Drosophila melanogaster: one gene and its partners. The protein of the gene in region 1 binds, or shares a complex with, the protein of each later gene. Each region holds a gene or a part of one and is shown on either strand. Other genes may lie near its edges.

The links. The genes of interacting proteins can lie anywhere in the genome.
Region 2: NC2beta (region 1) and Mocs2B share a complex: the UniProt entries of both Drosophila melanogaster proteins name them as parts of the ada2a-containing (ATAC) complex.
Region 3: NC2beta (region 1) and Ada2a share a complex: the UniProt entries of both Drosophila melanogaster proteins name them as parts of the ada2a-containing (ATAC) complex.

The regions. Positions count from the first base shown.
Region 1 is NT_033779.5:15,005,980-15,009,082, forward strand, and holds NC2beta (negative cofactor 2beta), read left to right. Parts: upstream 1-1,833; 5' UTR 1,834-1,938; coding exon 1,939-2,490; 3' UTR 2,491-2,559; downstream 2,560-3,103. Other genes in the region: DCTN5-p25 (dynactin 5, p25 subunit), read left to right, coding at 1-281, 339-560; Ankrd49, read right to left, coding at 666-1,177, 1,227-1,362; THG (tRNA-histidine guanylyltransferase), read right to left, coding at 2,703-3,103. UniProt on the Drosophila melanogaster protein: Bifunctional basic transcription factor. Activates transcription of DPE (Downstream Promoter Element) containing promoters while repressing transcription of promoters which contain TATA elements.
Region 2 is NT_033777.3:25,125,131-25,129,241, reverse strand, and holds Mocs2B (molybdenum cofactor synthesis 2B), read left to right. Parts: upstream 1-1,882; 5' UTR 1,883-1,895; coding exon of another isoform or gene 1,896-2,168; 5' UTR 2,169-2,178; coding exon 2,179-2,307; intron 2,308-2,368; coding exon 2,369-2,675; intron 2,676-2,799; coding exon 2,800-3,075; intron 3,076-3,139; coding exon 3,140-3,408; intron 3,409-3,467; coding exon 3,468-3,590; 3' UTR 3,591-3,610; downstream 3,611-4,111. Other genes in the region: Clbn (caliban), read right to left, coding at 1-509, 581-1,310, 1,376-1,431; Mocs2A (molybdenum cofactor synthesis 2A), read left to right, coding at 1,896-2,168; vig2, read right to left, coding at 3,886-4,111. UniProt on the Drosophila melanogaster protein: Catalytic subunit of the molybdopterin synthase complex, a complex that catalyzes the conversion of precursor Z into molybdopterin.
Region 3 is NT_033777.3:18,252,342-18,257,439, reverse strand, and holds Ada2a (transcriptional adaptor 2a), read left to right. Parts: upstream 1-1,952; 5' UTR 1,953-2,059; coding exon 2,060-2,123; intron 2,124-2,203; coding exon 2,204-3,065; intron 3,066-3,123; coding exon 3,124-3,886; 3' UTR 3,887-3,984; coding exon of another isoform or gene 3,985-4,165; intron 4,166-4,227; coding exon of another isoform or gene 4,228-4,402; 3' UTR 4,403-4,597; downstream 4,598-5,098. Other genes in the region: Tgs1 (trimethylguanosine synthase 1), read right to left, coding at 1-1,232; moi (modigliani), read right to left, coding at 1,229-1,568, 1,628-1,824; Polr2D (RNA polymerase II subunit D), read left to right, coding at 2,060-2,123, 3,985-4,165, 4,228-4,402; CG12320 (uncharacterized protein), read left to right, coding at 4,741-5,098. UniProt on the Drosophila melanogaster protein: Component of the histone acetyltransferase (HAT) complex ATAC; predominantly involved in acetylation of histone H4, including at Lys-6 (H4K5ac) and Lys-13 (H4K12ac).

The DNA.
Region 1 (3,103 bases):
GTCGCCACACGGTGCTCTGTGGTTCCCAAAACATTATTTTGAACGGCAAGGTGATCGTACAGAGCGGCGCCATCATTCGCGGCGATCTGGCCAATGTCCGGACGGGAAGATATTGTGTGATTGGCAAGAACTCCGTCATCCGACCGCCGTACAAACAATTCAGCAAGGGAATCGCCTTCTTTCCCATGCACGTCGGTGAGCATGTTTTCGTTGGCGAAGGAGCAGTCGTCTCGGCGGCCACCATTGGATCCTATGTGTACATCGGCAAGAATGCCATCATAGTAAGCTATTACTTATTGTTATACCCTTGTAATCCATTTACTTTTACCATCTTTCAGGGCCGTCGCTGTGTTTTGAAAGACTGCTGTGTAATTGAGGATGGGGCTGTCCTGCCGCCAGAAACTACCGTGTCCAGCTACATGCGTTACACGGCGAGGGGAACCATCGAGGGTGGCCAGGGCAATCCGTATTTTGTGCCCGCCGCCATGCAGGACGAGATGATCAACTACACTAAGTCATTCTACGAGCATTTCGTGAGGGCTCCAGCGCCAGCCAGCTGAAAATCGTGGTGTCTACCAATTCCATCGACAGAAAACATTATTTATGAAATAAACATATTATATTAGTTATTCTATAAGTATGCGCATAGTTTGACTATTAAGTGATTAATCTATCAGTCCCGTTTCGCAGTCGTAGGCTTCCTCGCCGGACTCGAAAATGGGAAAACTCATGCCAGTACGACGGGCAATCACCGAGGCCAGTTCCTCGGAGTTGTTCTCCTTGCGCGGCTGGATGTATCGGTCCAGCAGAAGGACCGTGGCCGTATTCCGACAATTGGACACAGTGGCGGTTATGTGAAGCGGCGTCTGCTTGCCGTCCGATTCCGCATTTACATCGGCGCCAAACTGCAGCAGCAAATGGGCGCAATCCGCATTGTTCCACTTGCAGGCGGAGTGCAATGGCGTCCATCCCAGCTCCGTGCGGGCGTTGGGATTGGCATGGTACTGCAGCAGCAACTTGGCCATATCCACAAAGTTATTATAGGCAGCTCGGTGCAGCGGCGTGTATCCGTCGTTATCCTTGGCGTTCACGGTGTCTGCGTCCAGTTTTAGGATTTCCCGCACCTCGCTGATGCGGTTCTCGTTCACCGCCCACAGAATCATGCGTTCAATGCTGCCTATGATGATGTTTAATTAAACTATTTCTCTAAAATGTATTCTACTTACTTTGTGGGTTCTTGTCCTCTTCGATCAGTTCGTCGGCATCGTCGTCCCAGCCGCTCACGAACATTCCGCGCGGCACTTTGGCGTGGCGCAGCTTCTCCACCTGTGATTTTTCATCATCGGAATCGTAGTCCCCCATTTTGTGGTAATATATTAATAATAAGCCGGAATTTAAACAGCTCAACTTTTTGTTTTCTATTTCTCAAAGTGACCGTTGCTTAGCCGCTTAAGTACACTTAAAAAAATACTAAACACTTAAAAATATACTAAACGAAGAGTGGAGTTTTAAAAAGAACAGTACATTTGGTTTTTCAAATAAAAAAAAAAAAACTATTTATATAAATAATGGTAGGAATTATAAAAAAATTATTCTTTTATTTGAAAAGTCTGCCATTTAAAAAAAGGCTGTATTATTTATAATATTCATCAAAATCAAATTAATCAAAGATTATTAAGCCATTAAATTTGTGTTGAATACATAAATGATATACATCATTTTATATCATCATTTATATATTTTATTTTTAGCTATATATGCTTTATATAGTTCATTTCAATCAATTAATGATTTCATTTATTTACAAAAACAATAATTTTTCGATTACATTTTTCTGTTAGCAGTAAACGGCCACTCTAGCACACTATACTAGTAAATCCGAGAAAAACATCTGCTTCCAAGTTTGTTTGTTTGTTTGTTCCTTGAAACCAGGACGCCATGTCGAATCCGCAGGAAGAACTACTGCCGCCCAGCGCCGAGGACGACGAGCTGACCCTGCCACGGGCCAGCATCAACAAGATCATCAAGGAGCTGGTGCCCACGGTGCGGGTGGCCAACGAGAGTCGCGAGCTGATACTCAACTGCTGCTCAGAGTTCATTCATCTGATCAGTTCGGAGGCCAACGAGGTGTGCAACATGCGCAACAAGAAGACGATAAACGCAGAGCACGTCCTGGAGGCGTTGGAACGCTTGGGTTTTCACGACTACAAACAAGAGGCGGAGGCCGTTCTGCACGACTGCAAGGAGGTGGCAGCCAAGCGAAGGCGCCAGAGCACGCGCCTAGAGAACCTGGGCATTCCGGAGGAGGAGCTGCTGCGCCAGCAGCAGGAGCTGTTCGCCAAGGCACGCGAGGAGCAGGCGCGCGAGGAGCAGCAGCAGTGGATGAGCATGCAAGCGGCAGCAATGGTGCAGCGACCACCGCTGGCAGACGGCTCCGTTGCCAGCAAGCCAAGTGAGGATGACGATGACGATGACGACGACGACTACTAGTAGGAAATAGTCTTTCTATGAGCTTAGTGTAGATTTAATCTTAAAATATATGCCATAAGTTGAACTTTCAACTATTAGCTACTCTTCATTACGGATCATCCGTTTGTCCTTCACTCCAGCAGCCTGGGCACCGCATCCTCAATCTCCGAAACGACTTCCTTAGATGTATCGTAACTTTAATCTTTAAAAATGCAAGACTATTCGTTATTATATCAGCTGGTACCAGCCAGATTTTGTGGCTCCTCCGCCTCATTGTCATCCTTGCCATTTATTTGCATCTCCACCAATCGGGGAAAAGTTTGTGGTGCGTCGTATGTGCCTGGCACATATTTTCCCAATATTTCGGTGTGTTCCTTCCAGAACTGCGAAGATATCAGATCCTCGTGCAGCGGCACCACGGCCTGCCTGCTCTTCTCACCCAATATCACGCGTTTTCTCAGCAGAATCGTTCCCTTTCTGTACATTGCCGGCAGATTGTTGTAATTTATCCCGAATTCCTGGAAGAGCAGCTCATTTTTGTCCGCCGAAAAGGTGCCACGGAGTTTCGCCTCGGCTTGCTGGTTCGTCAGGCCTTTTTCCAAAACGAGTTTCCAAAAGGCGGTATTGTACAGGT
Region 2 (4,111 bases), on another chromosome or scaffold:
TCCAGTTTAAGCTGCTTTATGGAACTAGCTACAGCATCGCCATTTGCCTGTGCCTCCTTTACAAGCTCGTGAATATCCGGCCAGGATAATTGACTGGCAATAGCTGACTGAACAGCCCGAATTGCATTATCCACCAGACTTTGATTGGACGTTATTAGCTCTGCTTTCTTTCTGTCCACATCTTGGACTTTTGTCAATTCCTCTAGACGCTTTGCGTGGTCATTCTTGACATTAGACAGCTTTTTTAGTGCCTCACGCTCTTGCTGTAGCGTTTTCATGTCAATCTTTTGCGACTCTTGCGTAGAGTAAAATTCATCAACGGCTTCCATAAAGGACTCAAATGTGGCCTTTTCAAAGTTTTTGAATTGAATAAAGAGGTAGGGATGAAATTCGATGTTTCTAAAGAAAAACTCCACCGTTCCATTCTCTGTAGGCTTTTCCTCTTTAACTTGAATAATGTAGCCTTTACTTTTTCCACTATTTCCCTCAGCTATAAGCTCTTGAGCATCCTAAAAGATTGCACAGAACGTTTTATTTACTTTAACAGCAATAATAAATATTTCCACGATATTGTTCTTACCTTTACTGCTTGCTGAAGAATTGGCAAGTCATTAACCATGTCAAATGGTTTCTGTTCCAGTTTCGTATTCTGTTGCTTCTTACGTTGCTTTTTACCGCCCTTCTCCGGCTTGTCCTCCGCCTCCGGCGTTTCTTCCGTTGTTTCCTTTTTGATAACGTGATTGTCCAAGCCGTGTGAGAGGAGAACATGCTCTATAACTGCCGGACCACAGTCCAAGTTGGGTGTTAGAATCTGTCGCAAATAGTCGCCGTTCCTGGCATTTTCCAACAGCTTAACCAAAGCTTCCAGTTCCAGTTCCTTCGTGGGCTGTTTGGCCCGTTCCACGGGATATTTCTCGCGCATGGCGAAGCGCAGGTTCTCGCCCTCCGTATGCGGACGCAAAATATATAACGTGGTCAGCTCGTAGTCGGTGAGGATCACATTACCACGATCGTAGAGCTCCAAAATAACATGGTAGGCGGCATCACCGGTACCGAACTGAAAGTCAACAATACGATCGCTACCCATCTGTTGAACCTTTTCCAGGCGCTTGTTCTTCAAGTGCTTCCTCAACTTCATGCTGAAACCGGACGGAGCCATGTTCTTGGGCCATTCGAACCTAGTGGTATGGAATCTTGTACCAGATTCTATTAGCAGAGTGACCTTCTCCACTGCACCGGTCCCTTGCATCCGGAAGAGGTAGGTCTTGTTATCCACGTCATAGATCTGATTCACTCGCCAGCCGACCAGCCTGGAATATAAATGTAGATGTACCATTATTCCTGGGCATCGGAATTATCCGGATTTTTTACATACTTTTGCAGTTCCGCCACTCCGCAGATTATATCGAAGGTATTGAAACGTGTCTTCATGGTTCTTTATGGAAAGTTGACGATGTCAACACGGAAAGTGAAGAAAAAAGAATCTATCTGGCAACTTAACTTATCATTAAATATTCACAAGTTCGCTATCTACGTTAGATAAGTTAAATTAGTTTAATAGGGAATAATAACAATTTTATTCACTTGCGAAATTAAGTATCGGTGTAAATTGCGATGGACGAACTTTAAACAAAATATATCGATTGTATGCTGTTGATGATTCGGATTGTCAGAATGAATTCGCTGTATAATTACTATGTATTAAATATTTGTATTGTTTATGCAATGAGTAAGAAGCTTCTTTGATTTATCTAAAAAGTTATTAAGCATTTAATAAAGTTTCAGTCAGCTGTTTCCCTTTCCGTGGACTATTCCACTTCGTTCCGATAAGAAATCGATACATAGGTAGTCGGAAAATGGAACTGCTGTGTCATCGCCAATCTTCATTTGTAAATATGAATGCGGATGGACCTGTTGTCAACGTGCACGTGTTGTTCTTTGCTAAATCCCGTGAATTAGCAAACACTCCCCGGTCGACAGTGGAAGTTCCTACTGAAATTACTGCCACCGAACTGCTGGACCACCTGGTGTCCAAATTTGGCCTGACCTCCATCCGGGATAACTTGATTTTGGCCCACAACGAGTCGTACATTGACAACCTGAGTGATAGAATTCTGTTTAAGGAAGGAGACGAACTCGCCATCATACCGCCACTGAGTGGAGGCTAACCTTTCCGCCATGGATCACGTGAAATTGGTAAACGACCCCATAGATATCGCTCATATCCATCAGTTGCTGGCCGATGAAGGCTGTGGAGCCTCATCCGTTTTCGTGGGCACTACGCGCGATAATTTTCAAGGGAAAAAGGTGGCTTCATTATCTCAATCAATTGATTTCATTGATTCATTTGTACTTTTCGACCTTTCAGGTGCTGTCATTGGCGTACGAGGCCTACGATAGCATGGCACTCAAGGAAATGAATAAAATATGCTCAGATCTCCGATCTAAGTGGCTCGATCTGAAGCACATAGTCATATATCATCGATTGGGAACAGTGCCCGTATGCGAAGCCAGTGTAGTTATAGCCGCCTCGTCACCACATCGTTCTGAGGCCTTAGAATCAGTATCTTTTGCAATAGACCAGCTAAAAACTCGGGTTCCCATCTGGAAAAAGGAAATCTACGACGGCGATAACGACAGCGAATGGAAGGAGAACAAGGAGTCCATCAGGCCTAGTAAGATCTTATGAGTAGCCAGCATGACATGTATTCTTATTATTTGTACACTTGTAAATATAATTAACAATCGAGCGTTTACGATTTTATTGGCTTCTCTCTCATCTGTGCATGTACATTGTAGAGAAATCGAAAAGTGGCTTCAACTACGCCGCTTGTCCCTGCAAAGTTGAGGAGTCACATGACGTCCCGCGAACTCTGGTGCAAATTAGAGTTAATGACGCTGAGTTAACCAAGCGTTTAGAATGTTTTGTCAACAGAAAACGAGACGAAATAAACTCACAAAATGTAATTGACTTCAAATCGTCTTTTGTCAGCTCAGACCAAAACTTGAGCGATTCCTGCGCTCGAACGCAGAGCACAATTATTAAGCAGGAGCAGTCAAATTGCCATTTAAAAGGTGGGTAAACGATGCTCTATTTTCATAACTATAGCCACTTTGGTCTACAAACAACCTATCACAGTCCGACGAGTAAACAACCGATGCGGACCTCAGCAAATGGAAATGCGACCCAACTACGAACTCGAACTGAATAAACTAATGGGATCGCGTGACGGTCAAACGGATCCAACCAAAGAAATGAGGAAATCGCTACCCAATTCACGACTACAGGCAATTGAATCGTACATGGGTCTAACCACCGACAACGAGGAAAACATTTTCAGTAGAATCAAACGAGTGGAAAATAGACTGCTGCAACTGGAGTCCATTTCGCCCGAGTACAGACACTTCGTAGGTTCTTAAAACATTTCCTGTAATTGCAGTTCTAAAAAAATTCAATCTATTCTCAGACCAAACGTGAACCGTCATCTATGGAAGCCGCGCCGCCGAAGAAGAGCCGAAAGAAATCGTATTCGGCGCAAGAATTAAGTGCATTCATTCAAAAGATTAAGGATGGCAGCGAATTAAGCTAATAAAAACCTAATTAATTATTATTCCTTGGTTTGTAATTGATGTAAATTTATTTCAACATTCCAACTATTTGTAATAGTTTTTTTTATGCGTAAATGATGAGAGTGAAAAATGCAAAAATTTTTGTTTACAACTAAGGAATATGGATAAGCGTGGCTGATTTGTTTCTGTTTATTAATCGGTCGTCAAGCTTCATAGATCGCGCCCGAAAATCTAATGGTTATTTGTTAACCGAAGGACCAGCTTACTAATTATTTAATACGCGAAATTATTAAATCTTATTGTTGTTCTCAACTCCTAGCACAGAGTGGGGAATTGAGCTTCATCGTCAACCTTCAGTGGCTTCTGGGCGGAGCGGCGTTTCTCTCCGAATCTGTTGTTGTCTTGTCTGTTTTCATAGCCGTTGCTGGGTCCGTTGTTAAAGCGGGGACCACGGAATCCCTCTCCACGCGGTCCGTCATTGCGGTAGCCTTCTCCACGCGGTCCCTCATTGCGTGGACCCTCTCCGCGAGGTCCGTCGTTG
Region 3 (5,098 bases), on another chromosome or scaffold:
TCAGATGCCAGGCTACGGGACAGCTGCATCAGTTGGCTAGCACCCACGGGCAGGAGACCTGTTTCGATATCAAAGGTGGCCTGCTTTTGGTAGTCAGGACCACCCCACGGAGGGCTCAGGAAAACCACATTTGGGCGCAGCTTTGTGCTGGCCGCAAACTGCAGAAAATCGGCGTGGATAAACTCGATCTTATGGGCCACACCATAAATGCCGGCATTATGCTTGGCCATGGCCAACTTCTCGGCATCGATGTCCACAGCAATTACGCGTCCACAGGTGTTTGCAAACTGAATGGCATTGCCGCCGCATCCACAGAAAGCATCTACGATCACGTCGCAGGCCAGTCGTCGGGCCGTTTGTTTGGCAATCTTCTCGGGTGTCACCGAGAACCAGCTCTCGCGGTCCAGCCGAATGCCCTGATCGAAGCGGGAGAACAGCGAGAATCGCTTGACCCAGTACTTGACCATTTTGTTGTTATCCTCTTGCATGCACTCTGGCATCCTGGCCTTGAGTTTTTTTATTTGCCTTTGCCGTCGTTTTTTCTTTTTAACAGAACCGCTCTGAACGCCGTGCAGAGCCTCGTTTTCGTTGTTCTCCATGGTCAACAGATCATGATCGTCCTCGCTATCGCTGCTAGATAGTTCGTACTGTGTCTTTCTTTCCTTTCTATAATTAATTATATCTGCCTTCGACGCAAATGATGTTGGCAATCCGAGAAGGCGCAGCTGTTGTTCCTCGTCACAATCCTCGGGATCGTCGTTGGCAGTCAAGTATGATTCGTCCTCCTCTTTCTCTGTGACCCTTTGCTGTTTCGATTTTATTGGCTTATTTGTAAGGCTTAGGTTCTGCAAGTCCTCCTCAACATCTTCTGAGTTTTCAGCGACGTCAAGGCCAAATGATTTGGCCAAATCGTGTTGGTAGTTCTCAAAGGCACAGCTAAATATATACCAGAACTTTTCACTGTAATCGCTGGCGTGCTTCTCCCACAGTTCCTGCCAAAGGCCTTGCTCCTCCGACGAAACCACCTCGATAAGATCTTTGTATTCGGGAAACCGCTTGTGCCACTTTTGCTCGAGCAGCTCATGCCCCTCACGCTGCCAGAATTCTTTCCAGGTAACGTTTTGAATGCCCCCCCAATTGCAATTATTCCAGTCGAAATCGTTACCAAAGAGCTGACTGAATATATAGAACTGCGGATTGGTTCGCGAGGTGGTCAGGTGGTGTGTGTTCATTTCTCGATCAGACTTCTCATCTCCAGCCTGCGAGTCAGCAAGTCCTCGGCTCTGTCGATGACCTGGATGTACCATAAGTCGATGGCCGGTCTGTAGGTGGCAAGTAGCGCGCTGAGATACTGTTTTTGGGCCAACGGATCGTTGGACAGACTATTGATCTTGTCGTAGACACCGCCGGCGGTCAGTTTGGCACCTTTGGGATGCTGCACATTATGTAGCACCACTTCACCACGCACAATGCAGTAGCGGCCGGTACTCACGCGATTTTCGACGACTTTGTCATGGGTAAGGCCAAGAATAAGCAAGGATACGGTGCCCTCGCCCAAGGAGTACTTCCTGAAAGATGCAGCATCATTGGTAAGGACCGGATGGATAGGTAATATAGAAAAACTTACTTTGGCAAACACTTAACGCGCACGTTTTCTAGGCGGTACTGATTCGCCTTGAACGCCAGACGTCCAATTAATGCGCACTGACCGTAGTGCAGGTTGTGGTAGGAAGTTTCCAGCTCCAGTTCCTCCACCAGCAGGGTCTTGAAGAAGTAGCAGTACTTGGGCGCTCTCGAGGTAGAGGCTTCTGGCACCAGGGACATAACTCTCTTGGAAAAAAACCAAGAATTCCGAACAAAATCAAAACACCCGGAATGATAAACTCAACATGCTTGCTAGTGTGACCAACGTATCTACGCACGATGCGACCCACCTATCGATAGCTTCTTCGCCAGTTATAGCCCTGCCTTTCTCATCACTAAAAACAGCGACATTTTATTGTGCAAATTAGAATTTCTTAATATAAACTTTAACAAACTGAGCAGTTCTTAGCTCACTATGTCTTTTATGAACCCCGTGGATATGGTGGATGAGGACGCCGCCGACCTGCAGTTTCCCAAAGGTAACCAACGCCCTACACCAACCGAAATGCAACTTACAAGTGAAACTGGCTGAAACCTTTGGCTTCGAGTGCCCCAAAAGTGGCACTCCTCCACATTTTTACCACACTGAATTGCCTCTTTGCAGTTGAGCCACTGGGGCCACAGGTTAAGCGGTTCATCCATGCACATCAGAATGAACACACCAGGAACTCCATGGTTTTGTATAATCCGCACACGTTGCACAGGTACTTGGAGGAGATGGAGGAAAAGACGCGGGACCAGAATAGCAGTGTTCCATCGGCTACAAAGGATGCCAATCGGTGTGCCACATGTCGCTGCAGTCTCACAGAGCCGTACATTAAGTGCTCCGAGTGCCTCGACACCCTGCTCTGCCTGCAATGTTTCTCACGTGGAAAGGAGGCCTTTTCTCACCGCAATAACCACGCTTACATCATAGTCCGCGACAACATACAGGTTTTCGCCGATGAGCCACACTGGACGGCACGGGACGAGCGCATACTGCTGAAAACACTTCGCACCCACGGCTATGGCAACTGGGAGGCGGTCTCCCAGGCTCTGGACCAGCGCCACGAACCCGCAGAAGTGCGTCGTCACTACCACGATTGCTACTTTGGCGGGATATTCGAGCGGCTCCTTAATCTGAAGCATGCGAGGGACAGCTATGTGCCCGAGCGAATGCCGTATGTCTTCAAAATGCGCAGCTTGGATCCACCACGTCATGACGACATCGCCTCCATGCAGTTCAGACTAAGCGCAGGTTACCGCTGTGCAAGAGGAGACTTCGATACTCCGTACGACACCTCAGCAGAGAGTCTGCTATCTATTATGGTGGATCATAGGGGCAGGGATGACGACAACGAGGCGTCTGAGAGTGAGTTTGAGCGCGAAGTGACAGAGGAATTGCAACTCGGACTAGTTCGGGCATACAACAATCGCCTCAGGTATGATCTTATAACAGAAAGCTACTAAAAAAAATCTAATATGCATATTTACTCACAGAGAGCGCCAGCGTCGTTACAAGATAATGAGGCAACACGGTCTCATAATGCCCAATCGCACCGTCAGCTGGATTTCCAAGTACGTGCACGCCTTTGGCAGCGATGCGAGTTGCATGCGTTTCTTGGGCTTCATGCAGATCTGTCCTGACCCCATTAAGTTCGATATGCTGTTGGAGTCTCTGCGTTATTATCGGGAGCTGCATAGCCAGCTGCACAAGCTATACGATCTGCGGGAGCACGGCGTTCGAACTCTTTCCGGAGCCAAATTATATGCCCGCTTGAGCAAAGAACGTCAGCAGGCTCAGCGAGATTACAGCAGGCTGAAGCAAACAGATGCTTTCGACTGGCAGCAATTGGTGCAGCATTACGAGAGCAACAGGAGCGGTGATCCTGGTCCCCTGGCCATTAACTCAAAGTTATATGTGATGAACACGCGTCGAAAGGCCAGTCCCATTGAGATTGGAGGTGGGAAACACTTTACTCATTGCCTGACACCAACTGAATATAATTTTTCTTTGATCCCAGATCTGCCTGGTTACTCCAAACTGGATGATGGCGAGCGAAAGTTGTGCAGTGTGGCTCGTCTGGTTCCGCAGTCGTATTTGGACTACAAGAATCAACTCGTTACGGAGCAAGCAAAGCTCGGATATCTACGACTGGCCGATGCGCGACGTCTCATCAAAATTGACGTGAACAAAACGCGTCAGATCTACGATTTTCTGCTGGAACATGGCCATATCAGCAGACCACCGTCCTATGGCTAGGGCTAATTTTTTCTCCAATGTTTCACTTGTAAATTTCCTGAATGTCGTCAAGTAACTAATTCAAGAAAAAAAAACCCTTTCGTTTCTCTTTGTTTCAGAGTTCGAAAATGCCGAGACGCTGCTGATATCGGAGGTGCACATGCTTCTCGATCACCGAAAGCGACAAAACGAATCCGCCGACGAGGAGCAAGAGTTCTCCGAGGTCTTCATGAAGACGTACGCCTACACGGATAGTTTTCGAAAGTTCAAAAACAAGGAGACCATAATGTCTGCGCGAAGGTAATGTAGCAAAACCGAACAAAGCACGTACGAGTAGTAATATTCAATTATTTCAAATTCAGCTTGCTGATGCAGAAAAAGCTGCACAAATTCGAACTGGCGGCACTGGGTAATTTGTGTCCGGAGGCGCCCGAGGAGGCCAAGGCGCTGATTCCTTCACTAGAGGGTCGCTTCGAGGATGAGGAGCTGCGCCAAATACTCGACGATATCGGCACTAAACGCAGCTTACAATACTAATTACTACTACGTATAAATATAGTTTAGATATAAAGTCATGGTCCACTTACACAATAAAGTGAAGAACAGCAAGAATTTTAAGTAAATGCAGAATATACACTGTAACAAAAATCAACAAAGTCTAAATACAATGTAATTATATCAAACAAAAGATTTACTTAAAAAAAAGTATATATAAATTGAATTTGCCGCTTGAAAGAATTGTTTGTCTAGTGTTGCCAGACTGCTCACATGAAAGAACTTATCGAAATAGCCGTCACATCTGGCAACTTGCTGAAAGGCCCGCACTTGCAATTGTTTTCTTTTTCCTAATAATTGCAAGCGAACAATATTTCACAATGAACAAGGACAACTCCAGCATGAAAATGGATCCGCAGCTAGCCCTACGCCTCCTGGCTGATGGCGGAGTGCTGGTCATCGCCGGTGTACCCGAGGGCACGGAATTCGGCATTGATCTTTGTGCCTACACCATTGGTCCGGATTTCCGAGGCGTCAAGATGATTCCACCCGGAGTCCACTACGTATGGTGCTCCTCCCGTGGTCCCTACGGCGATGCAGCCCCTCGTGTTGGATTCGTGCACTTCTTCCATCCGAATGAGATTGTCGTACGAGAGTGGGACCACGAACTGGAGGAATTGCGCCCGCGGAGGATTGCCGAACCGGAAGTGGAGCGAGACCGAATACGCAAAAACCTAG